Linked DNA regions of Tribolium castaneum. The protein of the gene in region 1 interacts with the protein of each later gene in a pairwise test. Links are inferred from orthologs where the notes say so. Each region holds a gene or a part of one and is shown on either strand. Other genes may lie near its edges. The genes, in order: ci, nej and cos.

Evidence for each region.
Region 2: the proteins of ci (region 1) and nej interact in a two-hybrid assay, tested with the Drosophila melanogaster proteins (3 studies listed by BioGRID). The link is inferred for Tribolium castaneum from reciprocal best matches to the Drosophila melanogaster genes ci and nej.
Region 3: the proteins of ci (region 1) and cos interact in binary tests that used the Drosophila melanogaster proteins (3 or more experiments, as listed by UniProt). The link is inferred for Tribolium castaneum from reciprocal best matches to the Drosophila melanogaster genes ci and cos.

The regions. Positions count from the first base shown.
Region 1 is NC_087394.1:31,427,031-31,438,243, forward strand, and holds the start of ci (transcriptional activator cubitus interruptus), read left to right. Parts: upstream 1-3,483; 5' UTR 3,484-3,931; coding exon 3,932-4,116; intron 4,117-11,213. UniProt on the Drosophila melanogaster protein: Has a dual function as a transcriptional activator and a repressor of the hedgehog (Hh) pathway. The full-length ci form (ciFL), acts as an activator (ciA) while ciR, its C-terminally truncated form, acts as a repressor. Involved in segment polarity.
Region 2 is NC_087402.1:7,102,244-7,113,495, reverse strand, and holds the start of nej (CREB-binding protein), read right to left. Parts: upstream 5,987-11,252; 5' UTR 5,394-5,986; coding exon 5,312-5,393; intron 5,205-5,311; coding exon 5,130-5,204; intron 3,761-5,129; coding exon 3,326-3,760; intron 3,275-3,325; coding exon 3,093-3,274; intron 2,869-3,092; coding exon 2,448-2,868; intron 2,372-2,447; coding exon 2,069-2,371; intron 2,018-2,068; coding exon 293-2,017; intron 240-292; coding exon 1-239. Other genes in the region: uncharacterized protein LOC103312726, read left to right, coding at 8,308-8,691, 8,739-9,002; membrane-associated progesterone receptor component 1, read right to left, coding at 9,642-9,757, 9,804-9,953, 10,003-10,306.
Region 3 is NC_087402.1:2,904,350-2,915,601, reverse strand, and holds cos (kinesin-like protein costa), read left to right. Parts: upstream 1-5,872; 5' UTR 5,873-6,003; coding exon 6,004-6,005; exon of another isoform or gene 6,006-6,051; coding exon 6,052-8,824; 3' UTR 8,825-8,898; downstream 8,899-11,252. Other genes in the region: Sf3a2 (splicing factor 3A subunit 2), read left to right, coding at 1-300; mRpL19 (large ribosomal subunit protein bL19m), read left to right, coding at 854-914, 969-1,656, 1,703-1,829; transmembrane protein 87A, read right to left, coding at 2,255-3,496, 3,540-3,643, 3,694-3,754, 3,809-3,907; uncharacterized protein LOC103312599, read left to right, coding at 4,248-4,329, 4,374-4,675, 4,722-4,781, 4,840-4,944; mRpL48 (large ribosomal subunit protein mL48), read left to right, coding at 5,168-5,272, 5,319-5,579, 5,629-5,796. UniProt on the Drosophila melanogaster protein: Regulates cubitus interruptus (ci) processing by recruiting multiple kinases to promote its efficient phosphorylation.

The DNA.
Region 1 (11,213 bases):
TGAACCACAGGATGGCTTTTACGTTTTTTCATGTTCTCGAGCAAATATCGGATCTGGATTGGAATTATACGGAAATTACATCACCGACCTCAGCTCCACCAATTGAGATATTCCCAATTCTGCATGCTGTTTTTGCTTGACCTGGACATAAATATTCGAATTGGCATCTCGTTGATTTCATTATACTCAAGGACTCTCGCGGAATTTTTTCTAGCTTTGAAAAAGTGGACAAAAGCTTGAAATTCTTCTTTCCGACACATTCCCAAGTGTAAATTACAAAAGCGAAAACTATTTTTCCGTTTAAGGACTATCACCTAGTTAGAATCTCGATGGGTCCGGGAAAATTGATACATCAATAAATTAACAAGTCAGGACAATTAAAATTTTAATTACAATGTAGGCAAATATTTACGAGCGGCCGGGGGCTCTATAAAATATTTCTATCTAGAAAAGCTCAAAAATAAACATGCAGAGACGTCCGAATGTAAATTAACACATTAAAATCGGGGATCGAAAGAGCAGGTTTGGGGAATTTTGTCATGATAGGTATTTTATATTTCAACCAGATGTTTGTAAAGACGCCTTGTTATTATTTCGAGCACAAAAAACACTAATTTAGTAAAATTATAAGCGGTACCCCAAAGTGTTGGAGCGGGTCTAACTTGTTTCGTCTCACTCTTCTTCAATTAGAACAGGGCATCTTTCGCAGTCTACAGCATTAATGAAGTTAGTAGAGGCCTTCTCGATCCGCCAGCGGCGGAGAGCCCAATTTCACACGCAAGGTGGATTCTTCGCCACAAATTTCACAATGACTTCTCCTAATCTGACGATTCTTGAAGAAATTGTAAAAAATTTGGTCGTTTTCCTTGTTTTAATGAAATTCTAAAATTCTTATATTTTTTTAAATGCTAAGTACAGATACTTTCACATAATTTTACGAGACATGCGTCTGCAGAATGCTGTCAATATTCCAATACGAACTCGATTACATATTTTTCAAAATTGAAAAGGCTTCTTTTAGTTTGTCCACATTTTCAAAAAATTTGCAACGTTTTTAGTTGGTAATTTAGTAGATTAGAATTATACTTATTACATTAATTTTGATGTAAACCCGACTTTAAACCACCTCTAAACACAAATTTTGACCTTTGTCATAACTTCAATTTTTTCAAATTTTCTTGTAGCTTTTCATTTAATTATCTTTGTTTTTATTAGATATTTTATTAGTAGAGTACAGCTGTACTCTCTGTTTCAAAACCACGGAAATGCCAACGCATTTTACCAAATTATTTTTTAAATAAGGTTGATAAAAATGTAAAATAGTTATTGCTGATTATTATATTTCTCATTGAAACTATAAAAAAACTTCAATAATCCGAAGTTTTTGATAACTGGAATGAATGTGAAATGACTACGAAATCCTAACAGTATTTATTATATGAAACTCGAATTTCTTGATATCCAAATCTTTTTGACATACCCTTTTAATAAGTTGTACTATTTCTTCTATCCTTTATACTAGGTAAGGTATGACGACAATTTTTGTACTTACTTTTGCGCTTACCTAAGACACAGTCATCGTTTTTCTTAGAATAGCATCAGAAATAAAACAAATATTTTTGTAGCTTATGTACTATGTAGTGTCAAATATTACTTTTTTATTTTCGTTGAAAAATATTTTGATAATTTTTCTTATACTGGCTTATTAAAACATACTTATTCTATATAAACTTACCATTTGCTTTTTATTTTTGTTATTTTTGATAGGTCGCACTAATTTTCAGTAACTCGAACTATGTAGGTTCGAGTTAGGAGGTTCGACTGTATTTAGCTAATTGGGCTTTTTAGTCGTCTAGCGGAAATTTATTAATTTTGTACCTAACGGCATTTATTTGACAAAATCGTACATAGTTTTCAAAAATTATCAAATAAAATTTAAAAAACCTGCAACAAAAGGAAAATCGGCTATTTTTTTTAAGTTTGAAGGGAATTTTGACTATGAGTACTACGAGTAATAGTCATAATTATCTATACATATTTGATTTTTGTCTTTATGTTTGTTGTATCCTTTATGACAAAATTTGTATTCCATTTAAGTGGAGATTTACGTAAAGACTGAGTTTATATTGTTTTCATTGAACATCTTGTAATTCACAACATTATGAATGGCTTGAATGGAAATGTGCTTTATCTAGTAGGAATATTCATAGTAAAGGTATTGAAATGCAGACGTTATTCTCAAACACGTTAAATAAATGTGTTTGTTTACCTCATATACTTGTAAATAGAAAAAATTACATTGTTTGATTCATTTCTCATGTAGGTATACCTCGGTTCTTTTTTATCGCTTTGATGGCAACGTCACAAAGACGTTTTATGAGGTGAAATTGGTCACAAACATTTGATTTACGTTGGAAAGAAGAATGTTATAATTGGATTCTACTAACAAATTTAGAGCAAATGATGAGCTCCACTGTTTCATAAACAAAAAGAATTATAAAACTCGATTCAATGACCATAGAAATCTACACATTTGTGAAAAAAATCCTTGGACAATCGAATTTGTTCTTGTTTCCGTTCATCATACCTATGATTCTTTGATTTCATATCTAAGAGATGAGGGTCCAAGGTTTGACATTATCAACATTTTTTTAAATGAGATACATAATCCTCTTTTTGAAGCCATAAATGAAAAGTTCGCATTTTTTACGCTTTTGTAGTAATTTACTGGAGACAATGGGAACAAAAGGGGTAGGTTTTATAGGTAGACGTTTCAGTATGTTATTTTTTTCAAATTTTAAGTAAATTTGCGAATTTTTTTTGAACAATTACAAATGGAAAGGATGTTTTATTTGATGAGTTCTGTTACTTGTTAAAATTAATACATGTATTTCTGATACACTCTGTATTTATAAAAAGCATAAGCGTGTATGCTCCGGTTTTAGGCAAAAAATGTCCACGTGTCCAATTCTTTTCATACAATTTTTGCACTATTTACACTATTTACACTATACAAATTTGATTACAGGTATAGTTTGCCGTATTTGTGCCTACACTTTGTTAACTTAACGAATTGTTAAAACACATGAGTATATAAAAACTACCTACATGATATTACATTTCATTCAGAATCCACTTAGCACAATTGTGTATTTGATGTTTGTTTTTCTTTTCAGCTAAAATATGTTACATGTTTATTTACAGACTGTTACAAAACGTAAAGTAGCACATTTTTACTTTTATTAACTACACACTACTACTATGTTTTCCTTATTTCATTTCTCGTACAGCAAAAACTTTCATTATCTCAGAAATGAAAAGCGATATAACTATGAAATCGTAGCGAGTGAGAAGCCTAGAAAATGGAAGGTTTATTGATATAAATGGAGGCTCCTAATTCGCTGCTACGCCACTGAGTAAATAAGAGAGTACAGAATGTGAGTCCATTCCCTCGCAGTCGGTCTGGGTTGGCCCCTCCCCGGGCTCCCTTCTTCCACACTCGTTAGTTGAGTTGTAAGGCCTGCCTGTCAACTACTCGCCTGCCTCTACTCTAGTTAGTTGTCCGTAGTCTATAGGCTGGTTGTGTTGTACTATACCTATTAGCAAATAAAGCATGTGCCTTACGCATCACCAGCAAGTGCCTCCGCGACGATGCCTCTCCTATTATTAGCCGCTCCGAATTGCCCTAAGTGCCTGGATTAAGTGTCTAGACTGGATAATACCCGCACCGATTCAAGCCCAATTACCGCCCCATAAAAATAAATTCAAATCGCGATGCTCCGGCGCGGAAAACCGCGAACTCGTGTGCCGCAGCCTTTAATTGAGACATATCCAATTAGCTAAGAAATTGCTAGATGACAGCGCTGATGACCGGTAGCGCGTTTTTGTGACAATCAGTTGTGACACAATTTAGTGATGTGACTAGTGCGATATGCCCGAAAAGGAGGCGGATTTTCAAGCCGCTATGTCTGCTGGTCTACCGTTACAGTTCCCGTCGGCTTTTGCGGCTTTCCACGCGCCTCTTCCCGTTGACCAACGCACGCACGAAGGACGATACGTCTGGGACCCCAGGATGCAGCCGCCAGGAGCGCCCTTCCACCATCCCACGCCGCCAGGGTGAGTCCAGCACGCTGACAGTGCTGCTCAACACTTGCGGAACGGCAATTGAGCAAAAACCTATATCTATATCAAGTCATATACACTGAACTCTTTTCTAAATCGTACTGAAGAAGAAGCAAACTTGTTGCTTTTAATTTTTGCATTCCATAACATTTAAAAAAGTTTGTTACGTATAGAGGTCATCTTCACTTAACAATTTGAGTTAAATTTTTATCACCGAAACGTAAAGATAAACTCATTATTAATGGCTGGGAACGTGAAACCAACTCGACAACGGGAAGTGGTCGTCCGAAAATAATGTATAACTGTTCTGGTCATTGTCGGAGATGACGCTATTGGTTTTTAACGGCATTTGACTACGTTTTTATCTCAAAAACTGGTCAACATAAATTTGAATAAAAACAAAGAAACATAAAGAGCGAATTGATTTAAAAAGCAATTCTAGAGAGAAGAGGATTCTCTAGGTATCACTGTTACTACAACTGTAATAAAAAAGATATTTTTGACTCGGTCCACTTTTATTACCCTCATGATGTTCCAAGCGTTTTAAACAGTGAGACAAGCTAAAAGGTAACTACTTGTTAGCAGCAGTGCTACTTTTCTCTAAGTAGCAACTTCCAAATGGTGCTTAATTATTGAAGAAAGGAAGATTTGAAAGAATAGAAGATTTTGATTAAAATTATATTCATATTCAAATTCGCAAAAGGTGAATTTTTTGAGTAGCCAGTTTCATTCTCTTATTTGTAAAAAAAATATATTTGTTAACATAAAGGCAGGTTCACACCTAGAAAGTAGTAAGTAGAGATCATACTTAAGCATAGATATTTTTAAAAAAAACAGGCTATTCCGTCTAAACCCCACATTAGAAGTTCTAATAATGATACTCATCTAAAAATTTACACACAACCTTAATCCGTTAGGTCCTGATCAATGAAAATATTTTGAACATGGCAGCACTTCCGGTTATACCGGAAGTCGTTATCAACTTTTTTATTTTCAATCGGAAGCTGTACTTATCTATCAGCTTTCCCTATACCTAAATTTACTTGTTTTCGAAATATTTAGGGTTTTTTGAAAATTTTTGGATTTGCTTCTTTGACTTTAAAACTTTATAACTCTGCCGGTTTTAAAAATTGGAAAACTTTTTTGGCTTTGAAAGAGAAGGTATAATAAATGTTTTCTTGGGTGTTTTCTTTTTAAAAAAAGTTAGCAGTAAATTTTTAAGATTAAATTTGCAGAACGTTTTAAACACCTATAACTTAAAATTTTCAAATGAAATCCCACAATTTTTATTTAACTAAATGGTAAACTTTTCTTCCATATTTTGAACATACTGAAGGAACGTACTTTTCTTCTTTGATTATCCAAATACGATTTATAAAACTCAAAAAACGTCAGTGTTATCGATTTTTGAAGTCAAAGATGCAAATCTGAAAATTTTCAAAAATAACTCGTAAATATCTCGAAAACGGATTAATTTAGGTGTAGGGAAGCGGATGAAAAACCTCTTGAAGTAACTCGAGTTATTTAAGAACGCAGTAAAAAACATATCTTTCTATTATGCTATTAAAAATTACTTCTTGGTGTCCTTTCCTTTTTATAAAATCATGGTTCGAGTTGGTGGTGCCTATTTTGGTTGTGAATTTTTCGTTACAATGATGCGTCTGTCCATCAGACAATTTGTTGAGCTGATACAAAAAGTGTCGAATCACGTTCGATGTTGGCTCTTTTGGTTTACGGTTGGATCCTATTTCTTTGTCTATAGACACGTAAATTTGTCATTGTCGGTAATCATCCAGGAAAGGATAATTTATGATTATTGACTTGGAAGTTTGAACTTGCATTGAGAGTGGAGAAAAATTTGACAGTGTTCCAGTTATTATTTAAATTTTTTGAGTGTGATGAAACAAGCCGGTAGTGTTTACGTTGACGCAACAAAGTTTTACGAGTTGCTCCCTCATCCATTAAAGACTTTAAAGCAAGACGTAAATAAACATCTTCTAATGTGGATTTTCTGCAATTTGTAGGATTTATTTAGGGATTTTAGACCGGAACATCCGAAATAACAAACATTTTAACGACATCGTTAAGGTATAGACCCACCGAAAGCCATTCAATCCGTCCCTAACAATCTCTTTTCTCCGAATCGACAGCACGTAACATTGACGCATTGCCTGAAATCCTTAGGATTTCAACAAACTCATGATCTCTTTTGTGCTCACAATCGGACAGGTCTTAAATTTGGGATGATGGTCAGGCTTTATTCATGTCCGACGGACTTTACCTCCGGTAGTCGTCGCCCGATTTGTGCTTTTTTCAATTGTTGTGCAACGTTTGCTCGAAGGTCGCGGGAAATTTTGTAAGGAATGCGATGATCGAAAAACAAAAGTCGTGTCGATGTGACAGCGTCTCATTGTATTGAGATATAAAAAGATTTTCAGCCGAATGATCAAAAGGATGGCTAGCTAAAAGCCGAACAATATTCAGTGATTCGGCACTTTCCAATTACTGTCCTCGCAGACAAGAATCAAACGAATTTTTGACATTCCCACACCAGACTTGCTGATTGTCACCATCCTACACTTTTGTGTGCAAACAAGTGCCACGCATAATTACTCTTGACTATCTTGCCTTAAAACACCTACCAGCCTTAATACTGTGTGCTTGTATTCACTGGTAAATCGATTATGACTGGATGCATTGTTGGTCTTCCGCAGTCTCGCAGACAATGACTTTGGCTTATGTTTCAATTATAATGCCGGCGCAATAAGAAAATCGCGACTTGATATATGGAATAAACTATTCAAACATTTTTACAACTTATTCGCTTTGTTTAATAGTGCTATGATCAGCCTGCCCGCATTGCATTCAAACTCCAACATAGCAGTAGCACCGTGTGAACATAGAGTTATTTTAACTGAGTTTTTATCAGCTTACCCTATACCTAAATTTAGTCGTTTTCCAATAATTACTTTTCTAACAGCGGGCACACTGGACAGTTTTTCAGTGGTGCACAAAATGCTGCTTAGCAATGCTTCATCAATTGTTTCAAAAGGTGACTGCTCAAATATTTTCAATCTTTGGATCGAGTTTTTAACAACAAAACAAAACAAAAATTTTTTCTTTGGATTAGCCGTGGTTAATTTTTTGTGTAGTCAAGTGTTCCAATGGTAATTGGGCTTAATTTTAAATAAAAGAAACGTGTGTTATTACATTTTTTAATTTGAGGTAATTGAAAAACCACCTCTTAAAATATGTGCATTCTAAATTCCATAACAATCCGTTGACAAATAACTGAGATATTAAGCTCGAAAGTCTTAGGTGAGACACGCTGTATAATAAAGTTACCAGTGATTTCAAAATTATTTTGGCAACACCGTATCCAACACGGTTTTAAAATTTTTGTCATGCAAGTGATGGGTGTGAAGCTTTACATGCAGGTGTTTACAAGGAATAAATAGTGTTATCAATTTATTAATTGACTCGAGGTGTATTATTAGTGAAATTACTGTACCGTGTGTATCCTGGATCGCATTAAAGTTGTGCCGAAGCAATTAGGGTGACTGAGCCGGGCTGGATCATTATTTACAATTTAAACTATCATTATGTCGTCTTGTTAGCAACCAAAATAGTGAAATTACGACGTGGGAATGTTTATGCAGCGAGTCCAGATTTGGTGCACGCACCGCGGAGCCGCCATTAAGCGCTCGGTGGTGGAGAAAAAATCAATTGTGTTTGTTGGCGAGCAAGTTGAGGATCATTCCGAACAGGCGTTTCTTTATTTTCTAACGAAAGTGCGATTGATATATAGACATGTCCGAAAGAATGCGGCTGACAATACAAAGCAACGGACATCGTGACAAAAACCAGCCCAATCACGGCCGTTGGAGACGGCAGGAGGGCGAAACTCCGATCAGTGGGTATTGACAGGACAATCCGACTGATAAATGGACACTCTGTATGTTGGTCGGTATGACTGGCAAACAACATCGCCAGACACGCAGCATACACCTGTGGACGAAGCCGTGGTGTCAAAAAGGCTTGCGTAAGAGACGATTTGAGCGAAATAAATTGCTTAGTCAATAACCTTTTGTCCGGAATTGGTCCGAACGTCTTTTTGTCTTGTCTAAGATGAATAATGAGGATGGGAATTGCGCACAATTCGCGACGATTGAAGGCCGATGAAATTGCAGATTAATTTTCGATCGCTACTTGTAAATTAAATTTCTAGATCGGATCAAGTTTTAAATGTAATCGGATTACACATTATAAACTTCTTGTCACGACAACAATAGGAATACGAGACCTGTTCAAAAGCTCCGTCGATATGCTCGTTTTGTTATTGGAAATTATACCAACCTTCCAGTAGCTATTATTCGAGCTGATCTTGTGCGAACTATAATACCAATCGGTTCCGCGAATTCGGTATTGAACCAGTGATTGCTTTCCGAAATTGCACCAATTTCAGCAATGCATTATTTAATTTTTCATTTCACCAGAACATATTTTTGAATTAACACTTCGTGGAAGTATTGGTGGTTGTGTCTCTTCTGTTCTAAGAATATCTAAGATTGATTTACAACACAACTGGCTATTCTGCTTTCAAAAGTATTCTCAAGGGTCTAAAAACACTTTGGCGGAAGTCATTCATCTCATATCACGAACATTGTTTTCAGAAGAACCATCATAAAATTAAGTGTTGCAAAATCATTCCAGTGTCATAAAGTACAAGATAATACATCTCGGGGGAATTTTGGTCAAGTGGGTTACTTATCAGTGGAGGAAAGATTGTCTAATTGGCTAATTTCTCTTAAAAATGAACGATTCGAGTTGAATTCATACAGTTCGAGGAGAAGAATGATTTTATTCACATTTTAGTTATAGGGTATTTGGTCGTTTTAAAATAATCCACAAATGGGCAAAAAAACTGATATTTTTTTTGTTTTTTAGTCTTATTAAAGTTTTATTCTAATCGACTTTTTCTCTGAGATTTAGTTTCGCTGCATCATTTTGCTGATGTTTACAAGCTGATGTGTGGTCTATCGTCCAATATAAATTAATTAAAAAAAAAATGCGACATTTGTTTTGTAACGAAACGTAGTGAAAATGATTAAGTTTTAATATATTTAATAATGCGCTAACCTTTTAGGGTGTTATTAACTATATAGGATTACATTGTCAGGCAGATTACGTAAGTACGCAAAATTTCAATTCATTCGGATAACAGGAACCCTTTTAAATTTGGCTCGGAAAATATGAAACAGACAGACAGACAACTAAGCAAGTTAAATAAATGCTTAAAAAAAGGGAAAAGCGGGTCCTTTATGCACGACCAAAATTTGACAGGCGTTTTTTCAGTTTATAGATCTTATAGTTATATATAGTTTAATGAGTAATTACCAAGAATTTAGAAGACAATTTGGGCCAAAATGTATTGATACACGTTGTTATTTTGGTATCATATGTACCAGAGCATAATTTTTAAAATTTCGCTTTGAAACTCGCAAGAATCCAATCGCTGTAAGAACGTTAATGAAAACATTGATTCATAGTTAATGAAGAAATTTTCAACGGCATGTGGCGTGATGAGATGTCAAAATAAGTGTAAAATAGCTCTCCTAGTTAATATGAGGGTCGTTTGTTACAAAAAGCCAATAATTAGACTTCTAGTACGACTTGCAATTATCTTGAAACAATGTAATATGTAAGATCTACACCTTTAAGGATGGTTATTACGTTAGAGACCGAAGCAGCTGCTTGTTATTAACTAAACTAACGTTAATGATTGGAGGCATTTTTAATTTTCGAGATTGCCTGTGTACGCGTTCGTTGTTTTATGGAAGTTAATAGTGCAGACACCTAGAAGAACCACTGGATTATCACCATATCGCGAAGAGGTTCGGGCAAGACATAAATTTTTTACGACCGTCTTCGGCTGAAAGCGGCCATCGGGCTGACCATTTGCGATAAGACACCGTTTAATTAGCCAAATAGTGGTGCGTGTATCAATGGTTCAATTGGCATAAAACTTGGTGGAGAAGGTTAAAAGCATTCCGATGAAATTTCGGCGAGTATCTTGTGTGCGATGACAGTGGTTGTTATGTGGTCCGAGTTTTTGGTCCGGAATAGCAACGGTGTGTTTATATCGTCTCGGCGCTCATGCCGACATATCACAGACTTGTTCACTTGGGTAAAAACGGGAACAACCGTACAGACCGCGTACACGTTTTGCAAAAGGCAGGTCGTATATTATCTCGGATTGACGTATGGATGTGTGCTCGGCGATTATTTTTGAGAACTACATTCTCGTTGGTATGTCTTTATGCTGCCATTGCACATAATGACGATTTATATGTATTAAACGGACGGCTAAAAAAGCCGTTTCGCTAGATTTTTTCGTGTTCTCGTTTTCTGCTCGTTTGTCGTTGGCCGTATTTGCCTGATGGCTTCTACTTATTAGGTAGGCTCTGAGCCAATTGAAAAAACATTCCCCGTACGCACTGTTATAGTTTTATTATACGTTTGCACTACTTTGATTTTGTATAAGAAGAAGTCATAGAATTGATCAGATTGTTCTTGAGAGAATAGTAATGGACGGTGTCGGCGGACATTAAAATCGCGCGGACGGCTTCAAAGTTGGGTGTCCTCTTAATCGCGAAATATTTTTACAACTTTATTACTCCTTAAGATGTGCAAATTTCCGTCGTAAAAATTTAAATAAAAATGTAAATTTTCTGATGGCTCAACGGTCGTGGCATTTTAATGGGCTTCGACTTTTCACTCTAATATCTTCCTTTACACAACAATAATTCCTTGTTGTCTATAACTGGCCATGTGTGGTCTTATTGATATTCTACCTCGTCGATAAAAAATCGGAAGGAAGCTCGTTAGATTACAATACAGCGTTTGTACTTGCGGTTGTTGCACATAAAAAAATAATTGTGCATGGTGTTAACATACTCATCACTTGCAACAGGAATCCTTTGATTGCAGCAATTAACTAATTAATAGCTTTGTCTGCTTCTTCTTCTTTTTTGTTACCTTGAATTATGTTTACAAATTGTTTTGACTGATTTTTAAACTATTCGTATTTG
Region 2 (11,252 bases), on another chromosome or scaffold:
GTTGTCAAACATCAACCAAACGTCGTCGACGTATTCCCAAGGGTCGGTATATTGACCAATATCAAGTTTCTTTTTGATCGTAGATAAGTCCATTGGTCTTTTTACAATGTCAAAGTAGTCGGGTATGCCCAAAGTTTGGGGATCTACCGGTTGTCTAAACGGCAGACTTTCAGGATCTTGTCGGTAGAGTTTCTCCAAAGTCGGCATTAACTTCTGGCGAAGCTCGTCAAATTTAAAAACTGAAATACACCAAGATAACATAAAATATATCAATAATAATGAGTCTCCTTACAGCATTTTTTCGGTTTCTTGTCCACGTTACAGGCCATCGGTACTAACGCCCCGTCCGAAGTGGAAGGCCTTACGTCCAACGAACCATCAGACACCTCCTCTTTGATTTTTCCTTCACAATCATCCATTGGTTCCGTTTTCATTTCTGATTTAATATCCATCTGCATCTCGTTCTTTATATTCTTCCCACCTTCACTCTGCCCAGGTTCTTCTTCAACTTCTTGTTTTATATGCTTAACGTCCATCGAATTCTCCTCTTTCATCTGTTCCAATTTCCCCTTGATACTATTCGGAGGCGGCGAAGGCGACTCTTCGTCGCGATCATGTGCCGCCGTAATCGCCGCCATCTGAGACGACATCGACGACTGTCTTGGTGCATTTTGAGCCGCTCGTTCTGCACTCGACATGCCTTTACCCAGACTGGCTGCGGTGGCGGGTGAAGATTGCACGGGGGTGGCAGGTGCTGGTGACGGCCCCCGCGACGAACTCACCGATTTGGGGCCGGCAGCGTGCGGCGTCATTACTGTTTCCGAATTTGGCGTTATTCGAGTCGCATTTAAATTATTATTGACTTGGTTTTGATTTTGAATTTGAGATTGAAGACCAAAAGCGGAGGGTGAAGGTGCGAGACGATTTTTCATCAAGTCGTTAAACTGATTTTGAGTCGAGCTCGCTGGTGATGCTTGAGGAAGGCTCACAGGTCCGTTTGAAGTACCGAACTGGTTACCTGCTGACGTAGACGCGTTACTGTTTTGTGACATTGGTTGGCCGAATGGCGATAATCCCGGATTTGAGGCAGTGGGACTCGGGCCTGGAAGTCCCACGACATTGCTTTGATTTTGGTTTTGTTGTACTGGGAATAAGCGACCTCCGGCTTGGTTCAGTGTGGCCATGTTACCTAATGCGGGAGAACCGCTACGTAATCCTGGTTGTTGGCCTTGTGGTAAACCTCCAGGAACCCCAGGTGGTCTCGTGACGACTCCGGGAACGGCTCCTTGCAAATTTGGTCGTATTTGTGGAGGTTGTGTGTGCTGTTGTTGTAGTTGTAGTTCCTTTCTTTTTTGTCGCTTCTCTTCCAACTCTTTTTGAATTTTGTAAATCTTTTCGGCGAGAAGGTGATAGTACTCAGATCTCGAGTTTGCCATTTCGTACATATCACCTTCGACTTTCCGCGCATAGGCTACTAAATTATGCATTCTCTTATCGAGCATCGCTTGTGGATCGGGTGTTGGAAAAATCGCTTGTACTAATTTATGCACCAGATGGTTTCTGAGATCGGGTGTGACCGACTGGTGCCATTCTTTGGTCCCTTGAACTGGTGATGCGGTCACCTGACCGGCTTGTAACCCTCCCGGTGCAATGAGTCCTTGTCCAGTGCCGTCGTTTGAAAGACCGAAAATCGAAATGCTTTGTTGGAGATTCGCGGCGACTTGACTCACTCCTTGGTTGGTATTTTGTGCCGAATCGCTACCGAGAGGTAGACTAACGTTGGGGGCGGGTTGGACAGCGCCGGGGGCCATCCCTCTGACTCCCAGACCAGCGGCCATATTGGGACCGCCGGCGATGGGTAATCGGATGCAAGGGCGTTGCGGGCCAGCGTTGGGAATGAGACCCGTGGGGGCGGTACCTGCCCCCGTCGTCGGACACTGCATGCCTAGAGCATCGTAGGCACGACGCATGTCCGATGGGTTAATCGACTGAGTACTCTGAGGCGGATTAGTCGTTGCTGTAACACCGAAATTAATTTCGGGCCCTAGTGAAGTACGTGTGGACTTACCGTTAGGGTTATTATTTCGGTTTTTATCGGCTTGTTTCAATGGTAAACAAACCGGGCAGTCCATTTTCGTACAGTGCTTCCAGTGACTTATAATCTGTCTCGAGGAACTACAATGCGCCACGGAACAACTTTTTCCCGCATTACACGTCGTCATATGATTTAAAACGTTTTTCATCGTTTTACAATGCGGTAAATTACACTGCCACACTTCACCGTTGGCTTGCGCCTCTCGTCTTTGACACTTATGTGCGTGTAGTAACAACACTAATTGTTGTTGGATCAACTTTCGTTTTTCTGGGTCTGCTAGATAAAGTAATATGAAGAATAACGTAAGACAGCGCATGCACTAACTACACATCGAGATCAAAGCGACACTTACCCGTCGAAGACGGTGGCGGTCCCGCTCCCTGGTTTTGGGTGGCGGTTTGCGGTCCGGGTTGCGTTCCGGATGGAGCTCCGGATTGGGGTTGGGCAGGTGAGGGTGCAGGCAATTGAGTTGGTGCCATTCCACCTTCGCCGCCTCCGGCCGGTCCGACGGGACCTCCAGGTCCCCCGAACCTCGTTTGAGGAAGTCCTAATTTATTAGCGTGAGGTTGCGGTGTGGCAACACCTTGAGGTCCGGCATTGGGATATGAATAAGGAGTATTTCCAGGCATTCCTTGGCCCACAGCGCCGCCCAATTGCATCATACCCGGGGCTTGCATCCGGGTACCGAGTGGATGGACGCCGTGGGGGCCTGGAGCGCGCGCGTTCAAATGTTGCATTGTGACGCGGCCCAGCATCGGACCATTTTGCATTGGCTACGAAAACAATAAATTTCAGAAACATTCCCATACGTACAGTGTGTATAAGAAAAAAATGTACGAAACGATTCGACCCTTTTTCGTATGTTTTAGACGAAAAAAGAAAAAAATCGTCACAATATGCTCTGGCAAGGTAAAGATTAAATTAAAAAACCATTGATTGGTTTTCAAACCCTGAACCCTTGCCACTTTATTAAAAATAGCAGTTTTTTTTATATTACCTGTTGAGGTACTGTATGGTTCCCGGGATGATGTGGTTGTCCCGGTGCCAACATATTCGTCGCATTTGCCAACGGTTTATTCACCGTACTACTAACAACCAACCCACCTCCAGCCATTCCCGCCATAGTACTCATACTACTATTCGTCATAATCATATTACCACCGGCACTATTATTCATCCCTGAAACAAAACCACCGTTAAAAAGCCCATCACACCAGAAAACTGCCGCACATTTTGTACCTTGAATTGAACTCATAATTTGTGGTGACGTTCCATTATTAGCCATTGACTGTAATCCACCACTATTCGAAATACTCGACGCCAAACTCCCCAAATTCATTTGATCCACGACATTACCTTTCGCCACCGAAACGTTGGGTGGCGATTGTAAATTAGGACTTTTGTTGCCTAATTGTCCCCCGGCCATTGCCAGTGCGTTACTTATTAAACCTTTATTGCTCTGGAGCATATTGAGCTGAAGTTGGCGTAAATTGTTACTGTTGTCACCGCTGTCGATCCCATTTTGCATCCCTGTTCCGGGACCGGGACCATGAGGCGGCGGTTTGCTGTTTCCCATGTTGTCGGAGATCGGCCACGACGTCGGCGTTATCAACTCGTCAGGAAGGTCGTTCTCCAGATCGAACATATCCATGTTCGAAAGAACATCTAACACAAAAACATTCAAAAAATTATAAACAAATAACGGACTGGCAGGCAACACGAAATGTACTTTTTCTGCTTAAATTTTCTCACAAAAAAATGTTTACGAAACGGCTGTTACCCTAGTGGAAAAAGTACACTCCAAAAACAAAAAATGTTATACACAAGAAATAACAAGAAAACTTAAGAACACAATTTCATTTAAAAATATTGATCCAATCTAGCTTGGAAAGTGTTTTTCCCAAACCTGACAAAATTGAACAAGATTCGAAAACAGTGGTTTTGATTAAAAAAAGCATAAATCAAAGTCATATCCCTAGTTATTAGAAAAAAAATGTTAGCAAGAATAAATTTCTTAATTTTCTTTTTTCCTAAAAAGAACGTTTACGGCTTGGCTACTTGAAAATAAAATCAAAGGAATTTGCTCATGTAACTATGTGATTTAATAAAAAGTTTTCGATGAAATCAAACCACAAAAATCAAATGAGATCAAACTCATCAGAAACTTATTAAAGTGTTGCATACATTGTTAAATTCACTTAAAAAAACACTAGAAAATATTTACAAAACAACTTTTCTAAAAAAACATGAATTGCAGTTTTGGAAAAATTAAATTAATTAATATGTTTACCACAAAGTGCCTTTTTAGGATAATATCAAAAAATGAAGTATGTGTGTGATTTGATAGTTTTAAGAATGAAATCATAAAAAGCAAATGAGACTGCATTTGCAACAAACTCAAAACGCTTGTTAAATAAAAGTTAAATTTAATAAAAAAAGATCTTTAGAAAAAATTTACAAATCAACATTTGTTCTAAAAAAAAAACGCTATTAACTTCAGAGAGAGAACATTGGCAATTAGAGTAACTGTTGATATAATTTAGAAACAAGAAAGAAGTATTTAACCAATTATTAATATCTTTGTAAGCACTAAAGTCTAAATAAACACTGAACATATTAAATGTCAAAATACGAAACTTTCATATAGTAATTTTAAAATTACCACAAGTAGCCCTAAATAAACTGAAACTTATGTTAGATGTAAGAAATGTTCAAGGACATGAACCACTTGTCTCAATATAAACAAAAAATCCACGTTTTGGGGACGCCGCTCAGCTGTTTTTTTTCTTCAGTTACAATCAAATCCTGATAACAATTATCAGATTGCGTAATTGTAGCTTTCGTAATAAAGCAGAAGAGTTTTTTCTACGGCATTTTGTTGTAATCTCGCACTAAAACCAAATCACTGTTAGTTAATAGAGAAGCAGCGCCAAAACAAGCCACAAAACGAAAACACAAAGTGAGTGCATTTTGAGTAAAATCTTGTTTGTTTTCGTTAGAGTTAGTCGGTTTTTCGAGGTATTTGAGTATTTACTTTGATTGTGGCTCATGTTCCACTGGTGCTGGTCGTGTTCGTGTCCACCACCCCCCATGGCCGGGCCGTAGTAAGCTTTAAGTTACGATTAAAATTAATAAAAGTGTGTGTGTCGTTAGGTGTGCGGTTATCTGCCGGTGTCCGGCGTGTCATGCATGCGCCCGTGTCTGGGGGCGGCTCACCTGAGGAGTCTGAGGGCCCCTGGAAGGGGTCCAGCTTCTGCCGTTTGGCGTTCGGGGGTCCGTCGACGAGATGGTCAGCCATGGTCAGTAAAAGCGTGACTATTCGCGCGTAAAACACATGATCAGGTCCTTTGACTCAAGGCACATTGTCAACAGTCAACCATCGGCCATCTTCAACTGCACTCCGCTTCTACCTCTCACCATCTTCCGTCGGAGGCGCACAATGTTCTCGGCCGTAATCACTCCGCACTTTTCCGCACTTTTTTCACAAACATCGGCGCGCTCGCACCACTACATCAGCGTCCCCGCCGAAAACCCACCAAAAAACAACCCTTTGATTTACATACAAACCGACGATTTGCGGAATTCATCCGAAATTCAACGCGTTCTCAAACAGGCAAAATGGCGGCTGTTGATGAAACTTTTTCTACGCTTGTCAGAATTGTTCCATCTAATCCGAACTAATCGCGCGGCTATTGGCCCAGAGCGGGCACGTGACGCCGATCGCCCTCCTCATTGGCGCAAACCTCCCGGAAAACACGATGTGACGCAGCGCTCGTGACGTCACCCGAACACAGCCGAACGCTGAACCTTGACGCTCACAATGCGCTCCAACAACTAAAATCGCGCACGATTCCAAAACCTCAACTCAAAATGCACCTCAAAAATTCGGAATAAATGGAGCGAAAGTTTGAGGGACGCTGCGGCGTCCCGACGCCGCCTCACTAGAAGGAACGCTGGACGCAACAATGGATGATGGAGGGCTCTATTTGATACTTATTGGTCAGAAGAACATAAATTCGAATAAAGAACGATATACACACAAACAAAGAGCGGGTACCCAGAAGTAGGGCATTGTGAAAAATCTTGGGAAAAATCCGATCTGGAATAAGCAAATTTTATCGATTTATTTGCAGATTATTTTTATCAGCCAAATTGGGTTTATCTAAATTGTAATAAAATAAAAAAAATTCGCACAACTTTTATTAAAGAAAGCGCATCGTGACAAAAAGCGATATTATTTTCTCAACTTTATTACCCAAATGAAATTCGTAGATATAATGTGGATGTTAAAGATTTTTGGGTTTAGTTTTACTGAAAATATTTTTTCAGACACACACCATTGGGTCGTGGTTCAAATCCCACTGGGAAACACTTTTTTTTTCATAATATAAAATTAAATAATTTCTATTCTTTGTCGCATTGTTTGTATATTTCTACCACTTATTATTTTCCACATTTTTATAGCAATTTGGTTCGGTTACTGATGACAAATGAACAAGCTGAGAAACATTTTTGGATTCTGAAATATTGGTACAAAAAAATTTTTTATTAGGTGCTCGATACAACTATTTGCCGGAAGAAAAAAATTTATTTAGATGTTGTCAAGTCCGATAAGGTTTCCAAAATAATACATAAAAATATTTCAAAAAGCTTAGGATTTTAAGCGCCACAAGCACTTTTACTCATAGTCTGAGTCTCTTAAGAGTAGTCTTACCCTTGGAAGTGATTTCAAATCTGGCATCTCAAAAACTAATAACATTTTAAATAGTAATCACACATCCAGGAGTATTTATAGTGCTTTTATTTTCACTATTCATGGGGATTTTTTCAGAATTTTTCTTCAATTCTTTTATACTAAATTAAAATTAATATTAAATTAATATTAAGCGCACTTAATAATTGCTAATTGCTCTTCTAATTCAGAAATGAACGGCGAAGATTATTTATGTTGTTTCATGTAAAAATTACGTAAAAAAATTGCCGCTAGGCTCAAAAAAATATTAAACAGTAAGTTTATTCTCACATTTTGCAGATCGCATTATTTATCGTAATAAAATTTCAAATTCACGAGTTATTTGAGTTTTGTAACACAAATGGCAAATACATTTAATATAACACGAAGAATTATAAGTTATAACTGATAACTAATTAGACTAATTTGAATTAAGTTGTCATTTACTTGAGAAAGATCTAATTAAACACGAATAAATTTGATTACAAAAGAATGCGAGCTACACAACGATTTTTTTTAGGCTAGGGGCAATTTTTTTATATAATTCTTGCATAGTACAACATTTTATCATAGTTTGTTTTGTTTTACCTCATGTCTATGATGAATAAAGTTCACTATTGATATTTCGATCCACAAGAAGCTATATTGACTTCGAGGCAATATATTTTGAACGAAATTCCTCGAAATAGTCGCGCTTTTAGTAAAACAACAGTTAAAAAAGCAAAAATATTGAAATTCTTAACTCAAAAGTCAGTTACTTTTCATTCGTTCTGCGGTTCAAGAAAGCAATAATAACACCACTTGCGATATAATTCTATGATTTTTCGGCGTATTTTTGCTTACATTTAGCAAAACAATTGCGTTTCTGATTATTTTTGACTGAAGAACACATGCTAAAATGCTTGAAAATATAATTTTTAGCTAATAGTACCGTTGTGTTTCGCCAAAAAAGGGTTTAGAAGTGTTTCAATGCTCGAAAAAGGTACATAAGTATAGCACCATTTTCTATTTCTACCCAACTCAAAGATTTTTAAGCAATTTTGTGTCAAAATGCAAGAAGAGAGCTCTATATCCCATTTCAGGTCGTAGTAGTTTAGAAAACTAATTTACGTTTAATATGAAAATAGGTACATTTGTAGGATAAGGGTAATTTTTTTAGGTGTAGATTTAATTTATTTTTTTGGAAATATGCGTCGTTCTTTTATTTTTTATAACGACTTGAGCTTATTTGAATTCTCTCAGTTTTGATTTTTATACCGAGACGAATTGGTACCTAAATTAAAGTCGTTGGATGATTATTCTGCAGAAATGCTAATGGGAACACAATAAAAATCTGACTGATTATCCAAAAACTTTATTAACCGCAACAATCGCGAATAACATGTTCCAAAATTCTCTCGTGTTCGCGATACATGTTCGCGTTACGTTGGCAACATGCGCACACTTTCCTCCACGATGAAAAACCCCAGTTTCGCCCATCATGGAGCCCACAACCCAGCCCCAAGCCCCCGAATGGACCTGTCCCGAAGTCTTGCGCCTTATCAGAGAATTTGGCAAACGGCCAGCCCTTTGGGACCCCGATTGCGACGACTACAAGAACAGGTCCCGGAAACACGCAAAGTGGCTCGAACTAGCGAACATTTTCAACTGCAGCAGGCTCGAGGTCGAACGCAAGATGAAAATTCTCAACTCGCAGTATCGAAGGGAAAGATTCAAAGCCATCCAAATGAAGAAAGCTGGGAAGTTCCACGTAACTACGTGGTACGGGTACAAGGAATTTTCTTTCATGAACAAGCTATTGGAGAGGTATAAGAACAAGAGCGAACAGTCCAATGAAAGTAATGCTATGCCTAATATTAAACGAGTATGGGTCCAGATTTGGTTTACGAATATGTGATTGTTTTGTTTTAGGAAATAGGCGAAGAGGTGTTGGAAGACGAAGAAAGTGAAAACGGAGAAGTGACAGAATCACCATGTTTTGTTGATGTTTCAGAAGTAGAAAAAAATAAGTGTGAAACACAGAATTTTAAAGACGAGTGGTCGCTTTTTGGCGAATTAGTTGCACACGTATTTAGGAAATTACCGGATGATAGGACAAGATGCATAGTTAGACATAAGATAAATACGGTTCTGTATGAGGCGGAGTTGGCGACTTATGGCAATGGAATAAATTAAAATTCCTATTAAAAGAGATATTTCATTTTTAAATCTTACATAAAGTAGGCGTTAACATGTATAATTTCTTCAAAAACTCTTCATACATACAATTATATACACACACCATAATTATGTAGCTGGTCATAAAAGAAAGGTACATTTCAAATGTTACAAAGTACGGTCCTGTGTTACCTAAGTACTGGTGTTTCGTTAAGAAAATAGACATTTGAAACGTGCCGTATATTAAAAACTGTAGCCCCTAAAATAAAAAGTGCCACATGTTACCAACTAAAGCCACACTGAAGTTGGTAACGTGTGTTGTAACCTTGACCCACTTGTGGCACTCGCTAAATCTTAAAATTACCCAACACAAAAATAAAATACGTCATTTGCAGTGTTGTTACAATATTGCGAATTTATTGGCGGAAAAGGGACCGTAATTTATGACGAGACTTAAAATTAGAAAATGCACAAACTGGAATCGAATCGTTACCACTTTAGCGTTACATAAAAATTTGAAAAGAAGCTCACATAAGTAACAATTACCGGAAATGCATCACACGAACCATCCTTAAAAAATATGTTAAAAAAGCCAACAAGATCATATAAAACGAAGATATTTTTTTACACTAGAAGAGCAGTCTTTCAGCCTCAAATTCAATCATCTTTGCTTTTATCGCCCGCGCCCGTTGGGGTCTCATCTTCTTCATCATCAGAGTAGTTCGTGGGCTGCTCGCCTGGCTTCAGTAGCTTCCCAACGAGGTCGTATTTCTCTGCAATGAGTTGCGTTATTCGTTATCTCCATGGCCGGCAATTTACCTTTGAACTGCGCCTCCCATTCCCGGACCGAATCCATTTCCATGCTGTTAAGGTCGCTCAAATCGTCGTACTCGTCGGTTTTTGCCGAGACTGAGAAGGTGGCGAGCCCCCTGGAGGCGTCGCGGCCGCCGAACGCCGCATAAGGGCCCCCTGAACCAAAAGTGTGACATCATCATGATGGCCGCTGGGAAGTACTCACCGGGGCCGTAAAAACGCTTCCCTTTTGTAACGTCGTAGACGTTGCCGTTGACGGCCACGAGGACGCGTCCATCCTCTTGGTTTCCGTCGTATTTTTTCAGTTCTTCAACGGTAAAGTCTCTTTTTTTCAATTTGGGGAGCTCCGGCTCGGGTTGGCGACTCTGAGGCACATCTTGTCGGCTTTTCACTATTTTGTACACTAGAATTCCGATCAGACACACTAAAAGAATGTTTACGGGACTTTGGACGATTTCCAAGACAATATTTGTAAGAAAACCGCCGGATTTTGCTTCGCTTTCCGCCATCTTGACCAACTATCTGACTTGATTTGACAACTTCATAGTCATTTTTTCACCGGTGTGGTGGCAGCACCACCGTCAAAACATGACCCGAGGTCAGGGTCAACACAAATTACGCCACAAAAATTGCTAATTTTTTTTATTCCTGATAAAAACAATAAACCAGGCTTTGGCAGGTCAGGGGGTTAATTATTTCGCCATATAGACGATTTTTGGTCCTAAATTTATCTTATGACTTCATTTTCGACGGTGGTTTTCGATCGTGATCGATTTTTTTTTCAAATTCCCTCAATACATAATGTTCCATTAAACCTTTGAAACTGTTGGAAAAGATCCAAAAATTACAACGTTTAAAGTTCTCGGAAACTACTTGTACTCACTAATTATTACATCAAATCCAGAATTCTAAACAACCAGATTTTTTTAGATTTCTGACACCACTTGCTTTGTCAGTATTCGGTATCCTGGTCTGACTAAACAATATATTTCAACATTTTTGTTGTTTTTTTGTCAGCATTTACATTTTTTATCACTTCTTGGTTTAATTTTATGAATTACCCGGTAAGCAATATTGTTTTTAGTATATTCCTGGTTGCATAAGCAAACTATTTTATTCAAATTTGTACAGATGGCGCTAAAGTATTTTTTCGCAATGATAATGGCAGAAGGTCGAGCTGTTATTGTTGTTCCAATTTTTTGTTACTCATCGACGCTAATGTTCTGGGTGTTGATGTGTCTGAAAACTATTGTATAAAAACTTTCTGGATCAAGATTAATGTGGACGTATCTGTGATATTTCTTGTAGGATTATAAGGTAGGTTGCATTCTGTAGCTTACAGCTTTATTGGTTATGTTGTGATCAGGGGTTCTGGGGCGAAGGTGATTGTTGTCATTCAGAGAATTTGTAGAAATCAATGTTGCAACCGTTGCTTATCTATTTTTATTGTATTTG
Region 3 (11,252 bases), on another chromosome or scaffold:
GCGGAACCCTACGAGACAATTGCGTTCAAAGTGCCGAGTCGGGAGGTTGAGAAGACGGATAATAAGTTCTGGACGCATTGGAATATCGATACAAAGCAGTTTTTCCTCCAGTTTGCGTTCAAGAATGAGGCGAAGAAACCGACCACGATTATTGCAAGGCCTGGGGGTATGATGGGTGGAGTGCCGCCGCCACCGATGATCCCGGTGCCGCCACCACCGAGACCCCCGATGTTTAACGCCATTCCGCCGCCGCCGCCGCTGATGGGGGCGGTTCTGCCGGTGCCACCGCCACCTCATTAACAAAATTGATTTTTTTAAGCTGAACTAAATAACACTGTATTTCATTATTTCAAAAAAGTTAATAAACATTAAACTGGTCCCAAACGAATGGAGTATTTATTTATTGTCTTTCTTTCTCGGAGAAGTGACTGAGAAGAGGGAAAGATCAACTGCTAATATTATTTAATCAACGAAAAAAACGATTTTTTGCGTGTTTTTGTAAAATATTTAAGCCCATGTAATAACGATCTGAGGCTACATTCTCTTAAAATCGTGGTTCAACTGGTTCAACTGTGGAAGAAAAATTCTGAGTTTGATCGTTTTAATATGTCCGGTGTCCCGAATAGTTAATTTTCAAGGCTATGGCAAGATTTACGTATAATTAAATATTCTGACCTTTTTAATTATTACTAGTATCATCTGTGGTATGATGGTGTATCATACAAAGTAAACTTGAGCCTTATTATTTTTGTATTACGACATATTATTATTAGGATCATCCATACGTCCAGTCTTGTTCAAGACCCTCTGTCAAGCCATACTTAACCTCTACCATATCTATTTTTTTTTGTCAATGAAAATGTTGAAAACGGGTGCACACCGGCCTTGTTTTGCCTTAATTCGGCACTTTAAGGGTATGACTGCCCCTTTGCTATGTTAGTTCGCCGTGTTACTTAATTTCCTTTTAGCTTTGCGCCGCCTTTCGACAGCAGCCCCAGAACCCAGCGAGCAGACCCGCCAGAAATACGAAGCCGCCCGCAAAAGCGTAACCGACCTTCGCCGTATCTACCCCGAGTTCCTCCCAGACCCCAAAATCGAATTCCGAAACCCGATCCGTGAAAAACTTGAACGCAGTGATATGATTGCTAGACGTGCAAATATTGAAATTCCTGAATTTTATGTAGGGTCTATCCTTGCCGTGACGTTATCGGACCCCCACACCCCCGGTAAATTCAACCGATTTGTGGGGATTTGTATCAAAAGAGAAGGTTGTGGCTTGAGATCCACTTTTATCCTTCGGAATGTAATAGACCATCAAGGGATTGAGATTTTGTACGAGCTGTACGATCCTACAATTAAGAGTATCGAGGTTTTGCGGCTTGAGAAACGACTTGATGGGGAGTTGTTGTATTTGAGGGACGCGTTGCCCGAATATAGCACTTTTGATCCCAATATGGAGGTGGAGATTTTGCCTGAAGGGGCCCCAGTGCCGGTCAACGATATTAAAGTTAAGTTGAAGCCCCGGCCCTGGGTGGACCGCTGGGAGAGGAAGCATCTGAAAGGGGTGCAGGATTTGGAGCTGCCACAGCGGTTCTATGATAAGGCAAAGGAGGTGGATACACCGTGGGAGAAATACGATTTAATGAAACAATACATGTAAGTTTTTTTTGTGTGTTTCATTGTTAAAGATGTATCTTCCCAGGAGGACTATTCCAGAGGAAGAGCAACATGAAATTTTCTCAGAATTGCAAACTCACTTGCACAAATCTGGTGTTACCCAGAAGGTGAAGAGGAAGAGGACTTTTGTCAAACCAACCAAGTTAGCATAAATTTGTTTATTAAGTCAAGAAAGCCATTTTATAGCAACAAATTATATACAATACAAACAATTAAATAACATTCATGTGCTAAGTATGTACAGACTTAATATAAATCACTGAAGTTTTATAAAATCCAGTCATTGCGTTATGTCGTACACAATACATAACAAAAGATAATAACTATGCTAATACTGAAGACTCTTTGAAATGTGTTTGCCAATTAGATTAGTAATAAATAGGCCGGCCATCAATAGGAAAATAAACTGAAACGATTTCAAGACGACCAATTTGAAATTCCGTAATACTTTCAAACTCAATTGTTATTCCATAAAAAAGTTATCGTTAGCGGTTTTTGTTTTAACCATCTTGTAATCATGTCAGTTCAATTTAAGACCGACCTCAACACCCTCACACTCCTTTCACTCGTGGCACATTTACTGCATCTTTGAGACCTCAAACCTCGTACTGACTAGTTCTTCGTCCGAATCTAAAATCGGCAGTGCTGGATCACTTTTGATATTTTCCTCCAACCATTTCAAATCATCATCCACCGAATTGCTCCTCGGTGAGGCCCCCTTGGGGTGGTGTATCCTGACTTTGACCCCGTAGGCATCATTGACCAACTGCTCCTCCTCCTCGTCCTCCCCCGTGTCCAAAAGCGGCACAAAGGCGTACCTCTGATTATTATTCGTGGGTCTCCACAAAATCATAATCACGAGCAACAAAGCCGAGAAGAGAATGTGCCAGAAGGCCTCCTCCAACCAGAGATTTTTCCACACGACTAAACATTGAACTATGCGATGCGTCTTAATCGAATACAACATGAAGCAAATTGAGGCGATAACAGCGAAGATTAGAGTGTTGGTAAAGTGGCGGTAGAGACTCAGCTTGATTTCGTTGCGTCTCAAGCGGAGAGTCCTTGTCGTGTTGACCAAAGCGCTGAAAATCCACCAACAAATCGCCGAATCTAACACTGCAAGTGGAACCGAAGCGACCAACAAATCGCGACTTTGGTCATTTTTCGGCCGCATTATCCTCAAGTACGCCTCAGACGCCGCTAGGAAAAAATACAAGAAGCCCACCCCAACAACCCGATGCAAAGTTGAGCCTAGTCTAGGTTTAACAATCCCGAAACCTAGACTTACAATCACGACCAACATTCGGGCCAGCGTGCGCTTGGCACAGGAGACCCACTCGGCAAAAAGCATAGCCCCCTGGACGCGCATCCCTGTGTTATTAATGCTCTGATATTCGGCGTAAAAAGTCGCCTTTTCCAACATCCCCAACAGGATAACTCCCCCGATCCAGAACTGGACTCTGAGCAAATCCCGCCATTGCAGAAACGACAGAATGAGCCAGATGACCCCCAAAATCACGTAGAAAATGCACATGAAGCCGTAGAAAGGCAAAAGGGGCCAATCGGCGGCCGAGAGATACCCGTAATCGCTCTTCATTTCGACGTGGACCCCCACGGTCAAGTCGGAGGTGTTCAAGGGGGCGCTCATTTGGAACACGAGGACGTAGACGCCGTCGTGGGGTATCTCGTAGATGGGGGGCCGCGAGTGGTCTTTGGTGAGGGGGGCGCTGTCGATGACGACGTGGTCGGGGCACGTGTACGCACGCGTGAAGCGGTACAAGGACGAGGAGTTGGCCCCCGGTGCCGGTGATTTGATCAGCTGCAATTTTGTATGAGTACAAAAACCGTTTTTATTAACTTACTTCGGTGGCCTCGCTTATCGTGTTGCTGTAGTCCCAGCATGGCGACGGCACTATCACCACTTTTATGTTGATTTCAAGCTCGCGGATGTGGGTGTCACAATTGACTAAAAATTTGCGAATTTATTTAAAAAATACAGAAAGTTCTGGCGGTTACTTTTAATGAAGATTTGCGCCCCTTTGTATAGACTTTTGGTGAGGATTAGGCCATTGTCGTCCTGTAAAATCAGGTGTGACGTTTGAGGGGTTCCTGTGGGATGTCAGGGACTTACCACGGTCAGGTTAGAGTCCCACTTGCCCTCATCCGGGAGGCAGGTGATCAAAGAAGTGCATATTAGAATGCATGCCAACGAAAACCATTTTTTAAACATTGCAATTTCCCGATTTTCCGCAAGATAACCTGCACAATAAATCAACAATAAACTGTCGCCAACTCAAGTAACCTTGACACGAAAATCACCAAAACAAACACGTATTTTTCTGCAGTATTGATTATTAAATTTAAATGGCAATTACCAAAACGTGAATAAATTTAAATTTCGAACTCCCCTTTCGTTCACCCCTTTCGCAGCTCCTTTTCAATCACAACCGTACAATTTCGCCAACATGCGTGATTCACGCAGCTAAAGTTGCTAGCGCAAAACCTAGTAACGAAAGTTACTAAATTTTTCAAAATTTGTTTGGCATAATTTTATTAGAAAAATCATCGTGATGAAAGTCATTTCAGCACTTTTTCTTGTCTTTTGCCTAAATTTCGGACACGCATACTACTTCCCGATATGCTCCGAGACAAGTGAGTCGGTTATGCGTAACAATCCATAACTGCGGTATTTTTAGGTAAAAACGAGAAAACCTGCACCCGTTACTTTACTTTTCCGAGGTTTACTATCTCGACTGGAGAAAATATAGCCGCTGAAAGCGTTAAACAACCACCACAATCGCTTAGGCAATTTCTTGACCAGACTTTTGATACGTACGTTGGGCCTTTTGTGGCTTTCTATGTGCATCATGTAAGCCCCGTTTTGAACCACATGGGGATTGCCATGGATCAGGTTTATAAATTAGTGACGGAAAACTTGCCTGAAATAAGCGACGAATATTACATAGCACAATATTTGCCGTTTGTCAAAGTGAAAAAGGTAAATTGTCTTTTATTGAGAAATAAAGTAAAGTATTCAATCGTAGGCTAAAGCTGATAGCAGACTCTACTTCTTGTTCATTCTGGCGAGTCTCTGCATTTATTTGGTAATTAATAGATTGACGAGTCATTACTGTTTTTATGAACCACAAATATTTTTTCCAGATTTTGTATGTTTACTTTAGTAGAAAACTCTATTTTTATTACCAATATGCGATCAGGAGGGAATATTTATGTAACGTACAAAAGATCTTCAAAGTAAAGGAATAATTTTTCTGTTTAATAATCGGCAATTACGCAAATCACATTCCATAGTCTCCAGATAGCGACCATTTGTAACGTTTACATTTACATCTTGTAACAGAAAAATTTAAATAAAGGTTTTGTTGTTTTTTTATCTTTATTTATAATCAAAATCAAAAAAAAGTGGACCACATAACCTCAAATTTGTTGGAGGTAACCGCTAAAGAATTTAAGTTCTCCAGTTTATACTATGAATAATTTATTGAGGGTCACACGTAGGGCTCTTCAATGCCGTTTCTTGCACCAGACGCCCAAATCATTCGGGAACAACCTCTACGAGCCCGATTATCTCGAGGTAACCAAATATAACCTCTTAAAGTTACCCAAAAAACATTTTTTAGGCCATGAAATCGAATCTTCCAATGTACGACACTTTAAATATTCAAATTCGTGGCTACGATTATGCCATATTGGAAAATTATCAAAAGTTTATTCATAAATTATTGCGAAGTATGGATATAAGTGTGGAGGAAGCTTGGGCAACCCCCCATCAAGACATTCAAGTCACGACCTATAAACCGAAGAGTGAAATTATCAACACACAGTACAATTTGAAGCACTATGATCGGACAGTACAAATTACTGATGTTTTATCAACTCAGGTATTTAATTTTTCAAAGTGAAATGCTTGAAACTGGCACGTATTTGCAGTTGCCTGTTATTTTACGTGCACTGGAGGCTAGTACCCCATCGGGGATCACCGTCCACGTGCGGCCTCATGAAGAGTGGGACGAGGAGATTAGATACGTGCCTGACACGGAGTTGAAACAATTGAAACAGGAACTGGACGACTTAGGGGGGCCTTTGAAGAAGAAATAAAAATGTTAATTCATAAATAGTCTAATAAAAATGATTAATTAACTCGTTTGCCGCTTTTATTTAAATCCTCCATTTTGTTCCCTCCTAGTGCTAAACCCAAACTCCCCAGTTGTGTTGTTTGAGGCAGCTGTAAAATGCATTTAAAATCCATTGATTTTTAATAAATTAACCCAAACCGCCGCAACCGCCAGGTACTTCGCCCCCATTATGTAATTCCCACCACTATCCAGCCCCCAACTCAATTGTAAATTTTAGGTTATACAATGGGTTGAATTCTCCCAGGATGGAGATGCACATAGAAACGGCGGTCCGCATCCATACGTCGGGCTACTCCCCCAACGACATGGTTTGCGTGCACTCCAACCCCGTCAACAACACCATCCAACTCGCGAATTCGCAAAACTACCCCGTCAATTACGCCCTTCCAGCCGACTGTTGCCAAAACACGGTGTTCACAACCACGGCAGCCCCTTTGGTGAATTATTTGGTGGAAGGGTGCGATGTTTCGGTGGTCACGCTGGGCCAGTCCGGGACTGGAAAGTCCTACACGCTCCTAGGCCCAGGTTTCCACTGTGCGGCTAGCGAGGCTGATCACGGGATTATCCCGCGGTTTATTCGCGAAGTTTTCGCCAAAATGAAACAATACAGAGACAGGAATTGGTGCGTGCATATCGCTTGGTCGCAGATTTGTGGCGAAAACGTCCAGGATTTGCTAGGCGTTGGGAGCATCGAGTGCCGGAATATCAGTGACGTGTTTCAGTTGATTCAAGTCGGAATGTCGAATATAGCCCCCAAGTGCGCCCACACGTTGTTCACACTCACTTTGGAGCAGCAGTGGGTGGTGGAGACAAGTGTGCAACATCGCGTCTCAACTGCGAGTTTTGCCGATTTGGCAGGGACTGAGAAAGTTCTAGTTTATGACAGCAACGGGATGATGCAAACGATTCCCACTGATTTAGGGATACAGACTTTACAGAGGTGTATTATGTCGCTGTCTGATTTTAACTGCAGTTTTGTGCCGTACACTCAATCCGTTTTGACGACACTACTGAAAGACTCGTTCGGGGGGCGCGCAAAGACACTTCTGATCTGTTGCGTGTCCCCCCTTGCTCAAGACTTCACCGAGACTTTGTATACACTTCAGTTGGGTTTGAGGGCTCAAATGATCAAAAATTTCGTCACTGTTAACTCATACGCTACGTTTGAGTCAACACAAGAGAATTGTGATGTTTTCGGCCTACAGTTCGCCGCCAATCAACTCCTGAAACTTGTCTCGAACGCTGAAGAGTTGTTCCAACGATTGGTAGCGAACGACTTGTTACCAAAAAGCGAACAAGAACAAATATCACAGTGGTTGATGCTCAAACAAGAATGCGAAGACTGTTTGAGTGAAAATTCAGAGCCTCATAGATCACTCGAGCGGATTGAGGAGGAAATTGAGAGTGATAGTAGTGAGAGCGAGGCGATTGAGGAGGAGGAGAAGGAGAGTCTCCTTGATAGGGTTCAAGGTTTGATGGAGACTTTTCGCTCAAACACCGATAAATTAGTCTCTGAGGCTAATTGTGCAAACGTTACGAATTCTTGTACCAAAGAAAGTATGAATAGCTCGAATAATGAGTATCATATGAAGGGGGCACGGGGGCGCAGAGGGAGTATCCACTCGGCTGAAGAACTAAACCCTTGCTTGTCCCTCAATACGTTACGTATTAATGACGATGTCGAGAGTCAAAAAATCGCAGTTACGTCGTACGATAACAAGAAGAAAATCCTTAAACAAATCGCCACTGCGTTAGAATTGAATCAAAAAAAGATCTCTGATTTGGAAAAAACAATTCGGGTCAAGGAAAACCTCATGGAAAAGCTCCTGAAGCACAAAGACACAAAATCGAGTGCTCACCATAAAATCGAACAAAAATGCCAGTTGTTACGCAAGGAGTATAAAAACGCCGAGGTCAAGTTCTTGCAAGCGAAATTACAAAAAAATCACCACTTGGAAGGGAAATACAAGAGCGAAGTTGTGGCCCTTGAGGAGCGACTGCGAGACACCGAATCGTTGAAAAACCTGACCGAAGACGGGAACAAATTGCTAGAATTAGAAAGTAGTCTACATACAGATCGGGAGAAGTTGAAAAAGTACAAACAAGAGAAAGAAAAGTATAAACAAATCTACGAGAAACAGCTGAAGGAGGAGCGCTCTAAGTCGAAAGCGAGTTGCGAGAGCGTGCCGAAAACCCCCGATGTTAAAGTCGTTGCTTTAATTAAACCAAACGTTTCGCTAAATAGCGAAGAACTTGAAAGTCTGAGACACGAAATTCGCAACTTGCGCAAAACCCGCGACTATTTATTAGAATTGCGGTGCAAAATCACGCTCAAATCCCAGAATAAAAAATTCCTGAACGACTCCGACGAACGCAAGTTGCTGCAGTACGAGGAGGCTATTGAGGCAATAGACTTGATCATAGAATACAAAAACTCGATTTTGTGTGGGCACCTGCCAGTCAAAGAGATTGAGGATCATGGCGATCGGATGCTGATGGAGCGGTTCCTCAAACTGAGTGAGAACGAAATGAGGATCCTCCTTCATAGATATTTCGAGAAGATTATCGATTTGAGGAGCAGCAGCAAAAAGCTCGATTTGGAGATTTTGGATATTGAAAACCAACACGAAAATCTCGCATATCGTGTGCAAAAACTCAGTCATAACTTACAACTGGTTAGGTCTGACGCTGAACGGAGGATAGCCTCGCTCCAGCAACAACACGAAGACAAGTTGTACTTGGTCTTGAGGAACCTGACGGGAGATGGGGCTGATAATGAGAGGATAAGTCGGGTCTTGGGGTCGAGACATTCCGCAGTGACGGTTCAAGTGGCAGGCGCCAGTAAACAAGTGGACAAGAATAGGTTCATAGCGAAGTGGACGCGATACCGCCAGGAGACCGTTCCGAGACAGCTGCAATCGGTGCCCCCACAGGCCAAGGTCACCATTGAGAAAAACAAAATCATTCTGCAGAAAACCAACAAGAACTAATTGTAATTTATTGTAGGCTAGGGTAGGACAATAATGATGTAATCGTGGTTTATCAAATAAATGTGATGACTTCAGTTTTGCGTTTTTTTTTTTCATTTTTGCCCAAGAAGTAAAAGGAATTTGGCGCGCAAGCGTGGCTTTTGAGTGATCATGTACTGGTATTAACTATGAGTTAATTCAAAACGCTGCAAAACTTTCCATTAGTTAATTATTATTGCGTTTTGCCTTGAATACGTCATGCGGGTGAATGGTTTATTTGTATTTCGTGGGCACGGGCGAGCGTGGGGTGGTGATCGGCTCCGGCGGTTAGCCGTCAGCTGAGCCGCCGTCTTGCAACCCTCCGAACGTAAAAACCCCATTTTGCGACAACCGGCCTGTCATATACAACATGGCAGAAGTAGTTTCGTGTAGCAATGTGATGGTGAAAAATCGTGTTTGGTGTTGTTCCCCTTGGTGATAAAAGTGTGTTGTGTGCGGGTCGGGATTGAGCAAACGCCATGGCGGATTTGACGAAACCGCCCCTGAGTGACATCAAGCACCCCGAAGAGGTGGTGCGAATGGCAATGAACGATAGTCTCAAGTTCGCCGTTTTAATCGGACTGATTGAAGTGGGACAGGTGTCCAACCGGGAGGTGGTCAACACTGTTCTGCAGCTGGTAAGTCGTGGGGGCGGTTTGGTGGCGGCGCCGGGGCTAGAGTAAACAAAACCCTGATGAGGGTTGGCGGGGACGAAACGTTGTTGTTTTGCAACATGCATGAGGTGGGCGTGACGAGGATACAACGTGGAATTGAATGCTTTCGATAGTGCAGGTACCTGTTATCAAACAAGGTTTACACGGACACCAGTTTTGCTTTTTTGATTGATTGCTCGATTAGGGAAATGTACCCTCGTCAACCAACACTTTAGGGGTTTTTGCCAAGTCTGGCATTATCTGTTTCGTGGGGTATTTACCTAATCCATAGTATCTCCTTTTTGGTTAATCTTGACTAAAGTAAGGGTTTTATTGGCAACAAATGGACCCTAGAATAGTAAACGAATGATTTAGGATTTCATTATTGGCTACCTGTGGCCATAAGACTATTATTAAGCCCGTGGAACAAATTATTTGGTTTTTATGTTTGTGTTTGTTTTCTCGTAAGTTCAGTGACTTTCATTGCTGAGCATTTTTTTTAATTTTGGGTTTAAAGAATTACAGTGGACTTTTTTTAAGCCGAACGTGGTCGGGATTATCTAAAGTTCGGTTTGAACATAATAAGACTTTTTTACTTTTTGACCTAACTTTTTAACCTACGGATAATAAACTTTCCTGTTACTATAATTATTTGGATTTTAATTTTCTCGTTCTTTGTCAAATTGGATTTTAACATTTTATTGCTTATTTATTTATGACACATTAAATTCTTATCTGTTTGCCACAATTAAATGGGTATTATTACTGTAAAAATGTAACAAGGTTTAGTTTGTTCGTTTGGTCTGAATTATTTATTTGTAATTATTTGGGTTTTTATTTTTTGGTTCTTTGGCAAAAATTAAGTAAAATTGGATTTTAACATTTTATGACTCATTAAAATCTTATCTGTTTGCCACAATTAAATGGGTCTTTTACTGTAAAAATGTAACGAGGTTTAGTTGTTTTTCTATAAATTGGGCATGGGGTATCATAGTCTGTCGATTGTCATGGCCAGCATCTGTTTTTGTTGGCTAACAGTAGACCAGTTTAATTTTTTGGTGTTTTACGCTTCATTGGATTATCTGAATGCCGAAAATACAAAGAAATTAAAGGTTAAAATGAAAGGTTTCATTTCAAGCGTATTTTTATAAATTAACCGTTTACCGCTTCAATTAGAACGAAAGCAAGTGAATAATTTACTTTTGAAGTTTATAAAGGTAAATTCCAGAAAATGGTGTATTAGAGATAAGGTGAACAAGCAGGTTTACTTTGATAAGCGGGAAATGAAACAACAAATTACTGTTAGATAAATATTTATTTAATTTTTGGTGGTCAAAATGGGGTGATCCAAAAACGAAAACGACATTTTTTGATCACTTGCATTAAATTTTTAGTGGTTAGTTGGGGAAGGTGGGTTAAAGTGGTGCTGTGTGTATTGTTTTGTGGGGTCGTTTCGGTTTGATTAACTAGAATTTCTCTTTATTTCTTCACATACCTAAAGATTAATAAATGTTTACAACCCAAACAGTGTATCATTTTACCCCACATTCCTTTTAAAATTCGATACTTTTGCGGTTGTGGAATTCGCATTATCTTTCCGAACAACTAAAAGTTATCTCACCTGCCGGTGTTTTTTTAAAATTTGATTTCCTCCAGTAAAAAATCGCGAAAGTCTAATTAGGGCGTCTCGCCGTCTTTTTCTCCTGCTCCTGTCTAGATAAATAACGAGATAATGAAAGCATTAACGTTGAGCAGGT